Macaca fascicularis: one gene and its partners. Each later gene encodes a partner of the first gene's protein in a complex. Links are inferred from orthologs where the notes say so. Each region holds a gene or a part of one and is shown in the gene's direction. Other genes may lie near its edges.

What was found.
Region 2: the proteins of DOCK5 (region 1) and RHOG are in contact, whole or in part, in a cryo-EM structure (PDB 8XM7), measured with the Homo sapiens proteins. The link is inferred for Macaca fascicularis from reciprocal best matches to the Homo sapiens genes DOCK5 and RHOG. Residues at the interface, in NP_079216.4 of Homo sapiens: Val232, Phe345, Asn393, His394, Lys395, Gly396, Trp400; in NP_001656.2 of Homo sapiens: Ala121, Pro123, Leu126, Arg127, Arg128, Lys130.
Region 3: the proteins of DOCK5 (region 1) and ELMO1 are in contact, whole or in part, in a cryo-EM structure (PDB 8JHK), measured with the Homo sapiens proteins. The link is inferred for Macaca fascicularis from reciprocal best matches to the Homo sapiens genes DOCK5 and ELMO1. Residues at the interface, in NP_079216.4 of Homo sapiens: Met1, Ala2, Arg3, Trp4, Val14, Ala15, Ile16, Tyr17, Asn18, Ser22, Gln23, Gln30, Ile31, Gly32, Asp33, Thr34, Glu39, Tyr41, Gly43, Trp44, Arg46, Tyr48, Lys56, Ile58, Pro60, Glu61, Thr62, Tyr63, His65, Leu66; in NP_001193409.1 of Homo sapiens: Ile7, Val8, Lys9, Ala11, Tyr18, Pro19, Leu21, Glu23, Glu36, Asp39, Gly40, Ser42, Asn71, Gly72, Gln392, Asp393, Leu400, Glu401, Lys468, Arg531, Glu535, Leu536, Lys539, Leu547, Gln550, Gln551, Asn554, Arg555, Asn582, Thr688.

The regions. Positions count from the first base shown.
Region 1 is NC_088382.1:28,565,612-28,569,259, forward strand, and holds part of DOCK5 (dedicator of cytokinesis protein 5), read left to right. Parts: intron 1-517; coding exon 518-677; intron 678-1,608; coding exon 1,609-1,649; intron 1,650-2,547; coding exon 2,548-2,638; intron 2,639-3,648. UniProt on the Homo sapiens protein: Guanine nucleotide exchange factor (GEF) for Rho and Rac. GEF proteins activate small GTPases by exchanging bound GDP for free GTP. Along with DOCK1, mediates CRK/CRKL regulation of epithelial and endothelial cell spreading and migration on type IV collagen.
Region 2 is NC_088388.1:70,446,473-70,449,075, forward strand, and holds the end of RHOG (rho-related GTP-binding protein RhoG), read left to right. Parts: intron 1-807; 5' UTR 808-875; coding exon 876-1,451; 3' UTR 1,452-2,034; downstream 2,035-2,603.
Region 3 is NC_088377.1:92,864,100-92,868,485, forward strand, and holds the start of ELMO1 (engulfment and cell motility protein 1), read left to right. Parts: upstream 1-1,484; 5' UTR 1,485-1,783; exon of another isoform or gene 1,784-1,899; coding exon of another isoform or gene 1,900-1,968; intron 1,969-4,386. UniProt on the Homo sapiens protein: Involved in cytoskeletal rearrangements required for phagocytosis of apoptotic cells and cell motility. Acts in association with DOCK1 and CRK. Was initially proposed to be required in complex with DOCK1 to activate Rac Rho small GTPases.

The DNA.
Region 1 (3,648 bases):
AGCCGCATTGCAGGAGGTGTACTAGGTTTCCAGGTTCCTCTAGGCTGGGCATCCATACGAGGCATTCCAGAATGTTCAGAGGATGCCCTGAGTGCCAGGCCTTAGGGAGAATAGAGACATAGGAAAAATGGTCTCATGCAACTAGATTACAGTCCTCACACAGCACAAACCTTTTGAGCAAGGGTTTGTTGACTGAATAAAACACAAACAAAAACAGACATTGAAAGAAGGACATTGCGGGCTGGGATTCTAAGTGATGGTAGGACTTGAGCTGAGTCCTAAAGAAAACTGGAACTTGAGTCCACAGAGAAGCGCAGCATAAATGAAGGTCACAGGATAGGAAGGTGTTGCATGAGGTGTGTGTGTCGGCTTAACTCTGTCACTTAATATCTAACACTGACATTCTGTGTCGTCAAATCCTATGCCAACCACTGCTGAGACCCTGGTCAGTGCCGGTCAGTGCTGCTGGAATGACAGCATGGAACCTGGGCTTTTGTCTCTCCCTCCGCCCCTCCAGGCTCCTAGAACATTGCCGGAAACACAAATACCTCTCCAGCTCTGGGGAGGTCTTTGCCCTCCTGGTCAGCAGCCTCTTAGAGAACCTGCTGGACTATAGAACCATCATCATGCACGATGAGAGCAAGGAGAACCGTATGAGCTGCACTGTGAATGTGCTGGTATGTGACATGCCCCTGGGGTGATGGGAGGGGACTCAGGCTGCCCCTGCACCCTACAGCTTAGCTCTAGGTGGATCCCACACACACAGAGGCACCCCGGGCACCTTTGTGGAGCTGGTGTCTTCCTGAGTCTAATTGGAATGGCTGGCTCAGCTCCCAGGTACCAGCAGCCACAGACCCTGAGGATAAATTTGGTGTGCTTTTGATTGTTTTAATTTTTGTTTCAGTAGGTTTTGGGGGTACAGGGGGTTTCTGGTTACATGGATAAGTTTCTGTTTGTGTGTTTGTTTGTTTGTTTGTTTTTGAGACGGAGTCTCGCTCTGTTGCCAGGCTGGAGTGCAGTGGTAGGATCTCGGCTCACTGGCAACCTCCGCCTCCCGGGTTCAAGCAATTCTCCTGACTCAGCCACCTGAGTCAGGAATTACAGGCTGGAATTACAAGCACGTGCCAGCATGCCCAGCTAATTTTTGCATTTTTAGTAGAGACGGGACTTTCACCATGTTGGCCGGGATGGTCTCAATCTCCTGACCTCGTGATCCACCCGCCTCAGCCTCCCAAAGTGTCAGGATTACAGGCATGAGCCACCGTGCCCGGCCAGAGAAGTTCTTTAGTGGTGATTTCTGAGATTTTAGAGCACCCGTCACCCGAGCACCGTACCCAAAATGTAGTCTTTTATCCCTCACCCACCTGTAACCTTCCCCGCTGAGTTCCCAAAGTCCTTTATATCATTCTTGTGCCTTTGCGTCCTGAGGATAAATATCGCCTTTTCTTATGGGGATATTTGTTAAAGGGAAACAGTGAACACTGTGGAAAAGTGAAACTGTTGAAAAGCAGCAACAGTGGTTTGGCTATTTTTGTGGTGAGCTTGTCAATAGCTCTTGATTTATATTGGGATTCGGTGATCCTTTTTTTTTTTTTTTTTTCCTGGCAGAACTTTTATAAAGAAAAGAAGAGAGAGGACATATACATAAGGTAAGCTGAAGGAAATTTCTTGCTTCTGCTATTTATTTCATGGCTTTGTGATTGATTTCTTCAGTAAACAAATACGATGCCCAACACCGTGTTTGCTGCTTTGAGAGACCCCTAAAAGTACATGATATGCTCCATTCACCCTGAACTGACAAACTCTTTAGACAGATACATGAATAAGTATGACAGGAAGGAGTGCCTACGTGAGGTCATGTCAGGGATCAGGGGAGGGATAGACAACTTCTATCCTGGGTGGGCAAGAGAGGCTGTATAGGGAGAGGCAGGAAAACCCATGCAAGAGTCTTAGCGAATCTCTGAACATGAAACAAACTTGTACATAACCAATATGCATGTTCTTGGGGAGAGATTCTATAGCTTTCATTAGCTTCCCAGAGGGGTCCAAGACCTAAAATTTAAAAACATTAAACAGCACTACCTTAAAGACGGAAGAGAAACTAGTCTAGATGGAGTCGGAGAAACACGGAGGCAGGAGGTGCGCAGTGTATTAAAGAAATGAGGAGGAACCGACTCCTTGGCTCAAGAGGAAGGAATAGCTTCTGTACAGTAGTGGGGAAGGGGGAGTCACGCAGGGAAGCAGGCTGGGGTCTGGTTATGGAATGATCTGAACACTATATCAACTTGAGCCTGGGCAGCATAGAAAAACCCTGTCTCTACAAAACACAATGAAAATTAGCCGGGCTTGGTGGCACATGCCAGCTACTCAGGAGGCTGAGGTGGGTGGATCACTTGAGCCCTGGAGCTCAAGGCTGCAGTGAGCCATGATCGGACCACTGCACACTCCAGCCTGGCCAACACAGCAAGACCCTGTCTCAAAACAAAACTTAAAAAACCTACAAAACTCTCGAGTGACAAGATGCTTCCTTTCTCCCCTTCTTGCCAGATATCTGTACAAGCTTCGAGATTTGCACCGAGACTGTGAGAACTACACAGAAGCTGCCTACACCCTTCTCTTGCACGCTGAGCTTCTGCAGGTGAATGGCTCAGAGAGCTTGTTTCAACAGGGTGGAGTATACCGTCCTTTCAGACTAAATTCTATACATTTTATGATTTTGATGGGAAAGAACCTTATTCCAGGGATGTCCTTTTATATAAGTTTTTAAAAATTCTTTCTAAATAGGCACAACTAATTTGTACATCAAGTATGGGAAAATGTCAGTTATCTTTTATTTAAAAGTCTTTAGAAAGCAGAGCATGACTTATGAACCTTTGGTAATTGACACTCTAATTAAAGCAATAAAACACACATTGATGAATACATTAAAAAAATTTTTAAAACTGCAGAAAACCACAGAAAGATGAGTTATAAGTGAATATAGTACCATAGAAGTACTCTGCTATTTTTATTCTCTCCGTAAATAAATGTATGTTGTGGCTTAGATATAAATACATCTATATGCTATGAGTCCCAAGTAATTATTTCTGGCCCTGAGCAGCTCCTCTAACTTTGGATTTACATACAAACTTTGATTGGCTAATACGCAGCTCAAACTGAACAAGGCAGTAACAGGAAGCTTTATTTCTCACTCTTTGCTCCTCCCCAACCCATCCTACCTCATTTTATTACCATGTTACTAATAACATTCCCATCCATTTAGTTACTCAGGCAACCTCATAGTCATCTTCGATTCTTCTCTTTTACTCACCACCTCCCATGTTCTCCACAAGCAAGAGATGTGGCCCCTCTGTTCAGAAAATGCCCCTAACCTATCCACTTTTCTTTTTATTTTTTCTTTCTTTTTTTTTTTTTTTTTTAAGAGATGAGATCTTGCTATGTTGCCCAGGCTGGTCTTGAACTCCTGGGCTCAAGCAATCCTCCCACTTCAGCCTCCCAGAGTACTAGGATTACAAGTGTGAGCCACCATGCTGGCCAATCCACTTTTCTTTATATCCCTGGCCAGCACCTTGGTCCATCCCATCAGCATGTCACACCTTGAGCACGACAGCAGCCTCCTGTTGGACATCAAGTATGGGAAAATGTCAG
Region 2 (2,603 bases), on another chromosome or scaffold:
TCCTGGTGGAAAGTGTCCATATTTAGTTGAGGATCTAGTGGATCCCTAAATTTGTGCACTCTCCTTTTGTGTCTGTATAGCCTGGAAAATAGCTAATACTGGCCAGGCGTGGTGGCTCATACCTGTAATCCCAGCACTTTGGGAGACCAAGGCAGGTGGATCACAAGGTCAGGAGATCAAGACCATCCTGGCTAACTCGGTAAAACCCCGTCTCTACTAAAAATACAAAAAATTAGCTGGGTGTGGTGGTGGGCGCCTGTAGTCCCAGCTACTCGAGAGGCTGAGGCAGAATGGCGTGAACCCAGGTGGCGGAGGTTGCAGTGAGCAGACATCACACCACTGCACTCCAGCCTGGGTGACAGAGCGAGACTCCGGCTAAAAAAAAAAAAGAAAAGCTAATACTTATGGATGAGGCACTGTTTTAAATGCTTTACGTGTATTATATAATCCTTATAATGACTCAATGAGGTAGATATTATTTTATCCTCATTTTACTGGTAAGAAAACTTAGGCATAGAGAGGTTAAGCAATTTGTTCAGGGTTACACAGCTAGGAAATGCAAAACCAAGATTTGACCTTAGTTTATCTGGCGCCAGAGCTTATGTGCTTTCTACCACATTATACTGCATCTTTGCTCGGTCTCAGGGCCTTTCATTGTGTATCTTTCTGATGACTGTCTTGGTGGGACTTTGGGATAGTGTCAGGTTAAGGGAACAGGAGCCGGTTTCCCTTTGTGTGCCCTTATCTTTTCTTCCCAGTAGGCAGAGGCCTCCCTAACCAAGAATGTCCCCTTTCATCCGTCCACAGGTCACTGCAGCCAGAGAGGTCCAGAAGAGAGAGGAGGCACTGCCTCCACTACAGCAACTGCACCCACGATGCAGAGCATCAAGTGCGTGGTGGTGGGTGATGGGGCTGTGGGCAAGACGTGCCTGCTCATCTGCTACACAACTAACGCTTTCCCCAAAGAGTACATCCCCACCGTGTTCGACAATTACAGCGCGCAGAGCGCAGTTGACGGGCGCACAGTGAACCTGAACCTGTGGGACACTGCGGGCCAGGAGGAGTATGACCGCCTCCGCACACTCTCCTACCCTCAGACCAACGTCTTTGTCATCTGTTTCTCCATTGCCAGTCCGCCTTCCTATGAGAACGTGCGACACAAGTGGCATCCAGAGGTGTGCCACCACTGCCCTGATGTGCCCATCCTGCTGGTGGGCACCAAGAAGGACCTGAGAGCCCAGCCTGACACTCTACGGCGCCTCAAGGAGCAGGGCCAGGCGCCCATCACACCGCAGCAGGGCCAGGCACTGGCCAAGCAGATCCACGCTGTGCGCTACCTCGAATGCTCAGCCCTGCAACAGGATGGTGTCAAGGAAGTGTTCGCCGAGGCTGTCCGGGCTGTGCTCAACCCCACTCCGATCAAGCGGGGACGGTCCTGCGTCCTCTTGTGACCCTGGCACTCGGCTTGGAGGCTGCCCCTGCCCTCCCCCACCAGTTGTGCCTTGGTGCCTTGTCCGCCCCAGCTGTGCCTTAAGGACTAATTCTGGCACCCCTTTCCAGGGGGCTCCCTGAATGCCTTTTTCTCTGAGTGCCTTTTTCTCCTTAAGGAGGCCTGCAGAGAAAGGGGCTTTGGGCTCTGCCCCGCTCTGCTTGGGAACACCGGGTATTCTCATGAGCTCATCCAAGCCAAGGTTGGACCCCTCCCCAAGAGGCCAACCAGTGCCCCCTCCCATTTTCCGCTACTGACCAGTTCATCTAGCTTTCCACACAGTTGTTGCTGCCTATTGTGGTGCCTCCTCAGGTTAGGGGCTCTCAGCCATCTCTAACCTCTGCCCTCGCTGTTCTTGGAATTGCACCCCCAAGATGCTCTCTCCCTTCTCCAGTGAGGGAGCCACAGAATCCTGAGAAGGTGAATGTGCCCTAACCTGCTCCTCTGTGCCCAGGCCTTACGCATTTGCTGACTGACTCAGCCCCCATGCTTCTGGGGGCCTTTCCTACCCCCATCAGCATCAATAAAACCTCCTGTCTCCAGTGGCCCCGGCTCCTCCCTGTGTGCTGGGCATTAGCGGGTGGGCATGGGCTAGGGCTCCCCAGAGACTGGGAGCCTTTTGTTTTTTCTAGTAGACAATAGGCTTCATTGTGGTCCCCTCACCCCCCAATTTCCCTAACAAAGCTCTAGGCTCCCTTGGAGGGGGCAGTCTTGCTCTGGGGCCCAGTCACAGATGCTATAGTGGACTCAGACACAAAACTTGAGGAAAGACTTCCTGATCTTAGGACTCAGAAAGGGAGAGGTTGAGAGCCATTAGCCTAAAGGCAGATGCTCTCACAGTCATGCATCTGAGAGCTGTACCTCACATCACCAAGAGGACAGTGCTTTAACAGGAGTTGGAGTTTGAACCCAGGTCTCTGCCTCAACTGAAGACTTCCAGGTGTCCTAGCTTGCAGTCCTAGAATCATTACAGATAGCTCAGTCACTCCTGCTCACCAAAACAGAGGCTTAGACCAGCCTTAGGAGACTCCAGACCTAAGGGGGATTGGGGGGATGCTGCTAGGAGTCATACCCTGCCATGGACTTACTCCCTCCCCACTCTTGAGCCTGTTTC
Region 3 (4,386 bases), on another chromosome or scaffold:
AGGGCTATCTTCAAAGATCTGAAAGACCTCTTCATGGAGGAAAAATGTGAAGACCAAAGGTTACAGGGGAGTGGATTTGCATAATTGCTGTGCAAGGAGGGAACAATTATGACAGCTAATGTTTACTGAGTGCTCACCACGCATGCACTAAAGTTAAGGTCTTTATATGCCTTAGCTACAAGGTTGTAGATCCAATTCATGCTCATCACTACAAGCATCTCAGAGCATTGTTAGTAAAGGCTCCATTTATTGACTACTTATTAAATTACCTCATTTAATAGTTGTGCTATTGATTTTTGTTATTGTATCATTACTGTTTTATAGATGAGGAAATACAGAAGTTAAGTTGCTTTCCTGCAGTCACCCTAGTTACTGGCTTTATAACCATGTGGACCCAGGCACTCTTGATACTAATACTGCCTCCCAGAGTCATGTGTGTAATAAGGAGTTAGATCAGAGCTGTTCATTAAAAATATAAGGTGAGCCACTAATGAGAGCCTATGTGTAGCCTTACATTTTCTAGTGGCCACATCAGAAAATGTAAAAAGAAACTGGTGAAATTAATTTTATGTATGCTTATATGTTAACCCAATACATGATGAACCCAATGGACTTATTACATCAAACTATTCTCATGTATTGCAATAATGTAATCAACATAAAAATACTTAACAAGTTAGTTTACATTCATTTTAAAAATATTAAATTGTATGTCTGTTTTACAGTTACAGAACATCTCAGGGCTAGCCACATTTCAAGTGCTCAACAGCTGCCTGTGGCTCTTGAGGGGGAGGATCTTAAAAGGGAGCTTAGTTTTCCACCTTGATTCTGATGCCTCCCAGCCCCCAACTTATTTCCTTTGCCAATTAGAAGAAAATGCCTAACTGCCTTTGACTTTTCCGGTAGAGCCAATGTAGGTATTGCTGAATTGGGGGAGGACAGGTGTTTCGCCTGCAACCCTCTTCCCTCCTGCCAGCTAGGCTGAGAGTTAACGTTTTTGATTTCTGTTTTGAAAATGATTTAAGTAGGTTGCAAGAATTAAGTAATTTATTCTAAATACCAAATTAGGGGTAGAACGTCTTGCCTTATGCAAAGTTATGCAAAATTAGGAAGTCCCTGGCTTAATTGGTTAGAAATACATCTTGTAGCTTCAATGGCAGGGTTAGTAAATACATAGATGTCGACTGAGAGGGAGGAAATGTTTTGTTATTTTTGCCACTCTGTCCAAGGGTAGAGGCACAGCGTCAAAACAAACACGTCTTAAAGTAGCGTTCAAATAGCCCACCGAAGTTTCCCCTTAATATCCGGAACCGGTTGCCAAAAATGAAAAAAAGATGTGAAAAGATTCTACTCGCTTTTGGCCTCCCGGAGGTGGCGCTATGAGGGTGACGGAGTTAATTAGTGCCTCCAAACGCCGTGTGTGAGCTCATCGAAGTCATGCTCTGCACACATATTATTTATAGCAGATTTGAGGCATGCATGGTGTTTGACATTTCTGTCTTTATAAGTAGGGGGACTTCAAAAAGTCGTGGGCATTCCCCTAGGCAAAGTGCCGTGGGCAGGGACCAGGGTGCGGGCGCAAGGCGAACGCGCAGACCACGAGTGTCCTGGCGCAGGTGCCAGGGGCGGCGGCTGCAACTCCGCAGCGTCCGCTCGGGAGGAGAGTTCGCGGCTGATCTCCGGATGCCTTGCAGATGCAAAATGTGTCTCTGGCCAGCAGGAGGAAGGAAGAGGAAGTGAGAGCAGCGGCAGCCGGCGGTGCAGCAGCCGGCCGACCCAGAGTGTAAGTGCGTGTGTTGGGGCGAGCGGGAGCGGGCGAGGATGGGCACAGGATAGAGGTAGAGCCACCCACGCCGCCGCGGCCCCACGCTGGGCGACAGAGCCTCCAGTTCCCCTTCAATGGTGGCAGGTCGCCGCAGCTCTGATCGCCGGGAACCCTTGCCGCTGCTGTCCTGCGACCCCAAGCAGGTTCGTAAAGTTTCCTGGGCTGGCGCCGCGCCCCGACTTCCTGACCTCGGCGCGGCAGGGGAGGGGGCCGGGACTGGGGCCGGGAGGAGCCGTACTGCTCCGGGGGACTCCGGGAGCCGCGGAGACACTTTTGTTTCCTCCCTGGGAGCGCCGCGGCTCCGGCGGGGGTGGCCGCCGCGCTCGGCAGGGTGAAAGCTGTGGGCGCGTCGGGGCGCTCTGCAATTGGGGAAGTCTGAGCTCGGGGGATGGCGGGAGTGGGAGTGGGAGAGGAGGGAGGGGGCGCTGGAGGTGCAGCGCCCGGGGATGAAGCGCAGGGCCCGGGGCCCGGGGCCCGGGAGCCCGCCGAGACGTTTCGACCAGGGTCTGCGGGAGGGGGGCGCCGGAGGGTTGCGACGCGGGCGCGAGGTTGTTGGGGAAGGGGGATGTGGGGCTGGGACCTTGGAGTCAAGATTTCCTATAGAGCCAGAGAAGCGGCTGGCGGCTCGGACTCTGCGTCTTCTCCTGCACTCAGGGATGGGAGGGAATCCCCCGGCGAGTGCGCTCGTGGGAGGAGGCGGTGATGGGCCAGAGGGATGGGGGCCAGGAGGGCCGGAGAGGGCGGTCTGGGCAGCCGGGAGCCCCGGAGGCTCTGGTTGTAAATACTCTCCTCCCAGGGACACACCGGGGTCTCCGCCGAGACCGGAAGAGGCGGCGGGGGGTTTTGTGGAGCTTCGTGGAAATCTCAGCTTCGGAGAGGGGATGCACCAGGCGCGCCTTCAGAGAAGGGGGCGGCGGCATGCCGGGGGCCCGGGAATCGGAGCGGAGAGTGGCAACCGCGATCGCCGGAGTCTCTTTGAGGAAGAGGAAATACAGAACTCAGCTGTCCCGGGGGTGCGCGCGTGTGTTTGGAATTGGGAAGTCGGTGCTGTGCCGCGAGCGCGCGCGAGGTGGCGTGTGTGTGTGTGTGTGTGTGTGTGTGTGTGTGTGTGTATGTGTGTGCGCGCGCGCGTGTGTGTGCGCGCATATGTATGTGTGTGTGGTGTGTCATCGGTGTGTGTAAGTGTGTGTGTGTGGGGGGGGTGGGTGTTGTCGGTGTGGGAGGGTGTTGTCGGTGTGTGTGTGTAAGTGTTACCGCACAGCCAGGAACTACCCGCCCAGTGACCCTCTCCAGCCTAGGGGGCGATTTGAAGTTGGAGGCGGGACGGGACCTGCCTTGACCCAAAGGACCAGACTCAGGCTTGGTCCCAGGTAGTGACCCAGCTCTGAGAGCCCCTGGACGGCCCCCGAGACCCAGTGAACGTATTTGGGATGCCCCTCGCGCTGGATCATGGGCTTCCCAGCTGCGTTGGCCGTGAATGATTCGGGCCTAATTCGTTATGGTTAAGATTTTAGATAACCTAACGCAGGGGATGGGGCCTCCAGAGGCGGAGGCTCCCTGTTGGGCGCGGCCGGTGCCTTGGGGATGAGGCTATGGAAGAATATCTGAGTGTTTCTTTTTTGCTTCTATAAAGGTAATTAATGACCTGTATTTACATACCAAAACCCTGCGACCAATTTTGGGACATAGAGGGATATAATCCTTCTCAGAATCACTTTGAGATTGCAAAGACTGGCAGCAGCTGTTATTGTTGTCTCCTCTGGCCCCATGTTATCTCTGGGTTCTCAGGTTCTCCTCTGGGTTCTCACATTATCTCACCTCCATGCCTACTTTCCAAGGTTGTTTCAAGGATTATTGTCCCCCGATTTATAGATCTGGGGGAAAATAATGGCAAGTTAGGAGGCCAGATCCCCTGCAGACACATCGCATACTTTTAATTTTTCTTATAGCTGACCTTTTGAAGCTTTACTCTTTACTGTTGTACATTTCCTATCTCTGGAAGGCTGTGGTTAAATGTGGATGCTGCCTTTTTTCTACTCTGTTTTGTTTGTTTTTATTAGGTTGGTAAATTGTGAGGAAATGACCTGGACTGCTGTGACTCTTGGGGAGGGGTTGTGTCAGGAGGGTACTGAACTGGAGAACAAGAAGTATGGTAGGTATCAGGGAGGGGCAGGCTGGGAGGCAGACCCGGCTGGGAGGCAGACCCAGATGGGAGTCTGGGGAAACTCAGGGCCTGGAGCAGTCATTGGGCAAGAAGATGGGCAGTTCTAGTGATGGCCATGCTTACTGTCCTTGGTAACTGCAGGCACCCTCACCGTCTCACATTCTTCTTTTTCACTGAGTTCTCTCCCTAGGGCCTTTGCCCATGAAATTACAGGAGGAGCTTTTCTCCCACATGTCCAGATGACTGACTTCCCCTGCTTCCTTCAGGTGTCTGCCCAGCTGTCAGCTTATAGGGGGCCTTCCCTGGCTACCCCATATAAAATAGCAGCCAGACATTCCCTGGGCCTCTTATGTTACTCAGTTTTTTGTCTTAGTACCTTTTACTCCCTGGCATTATA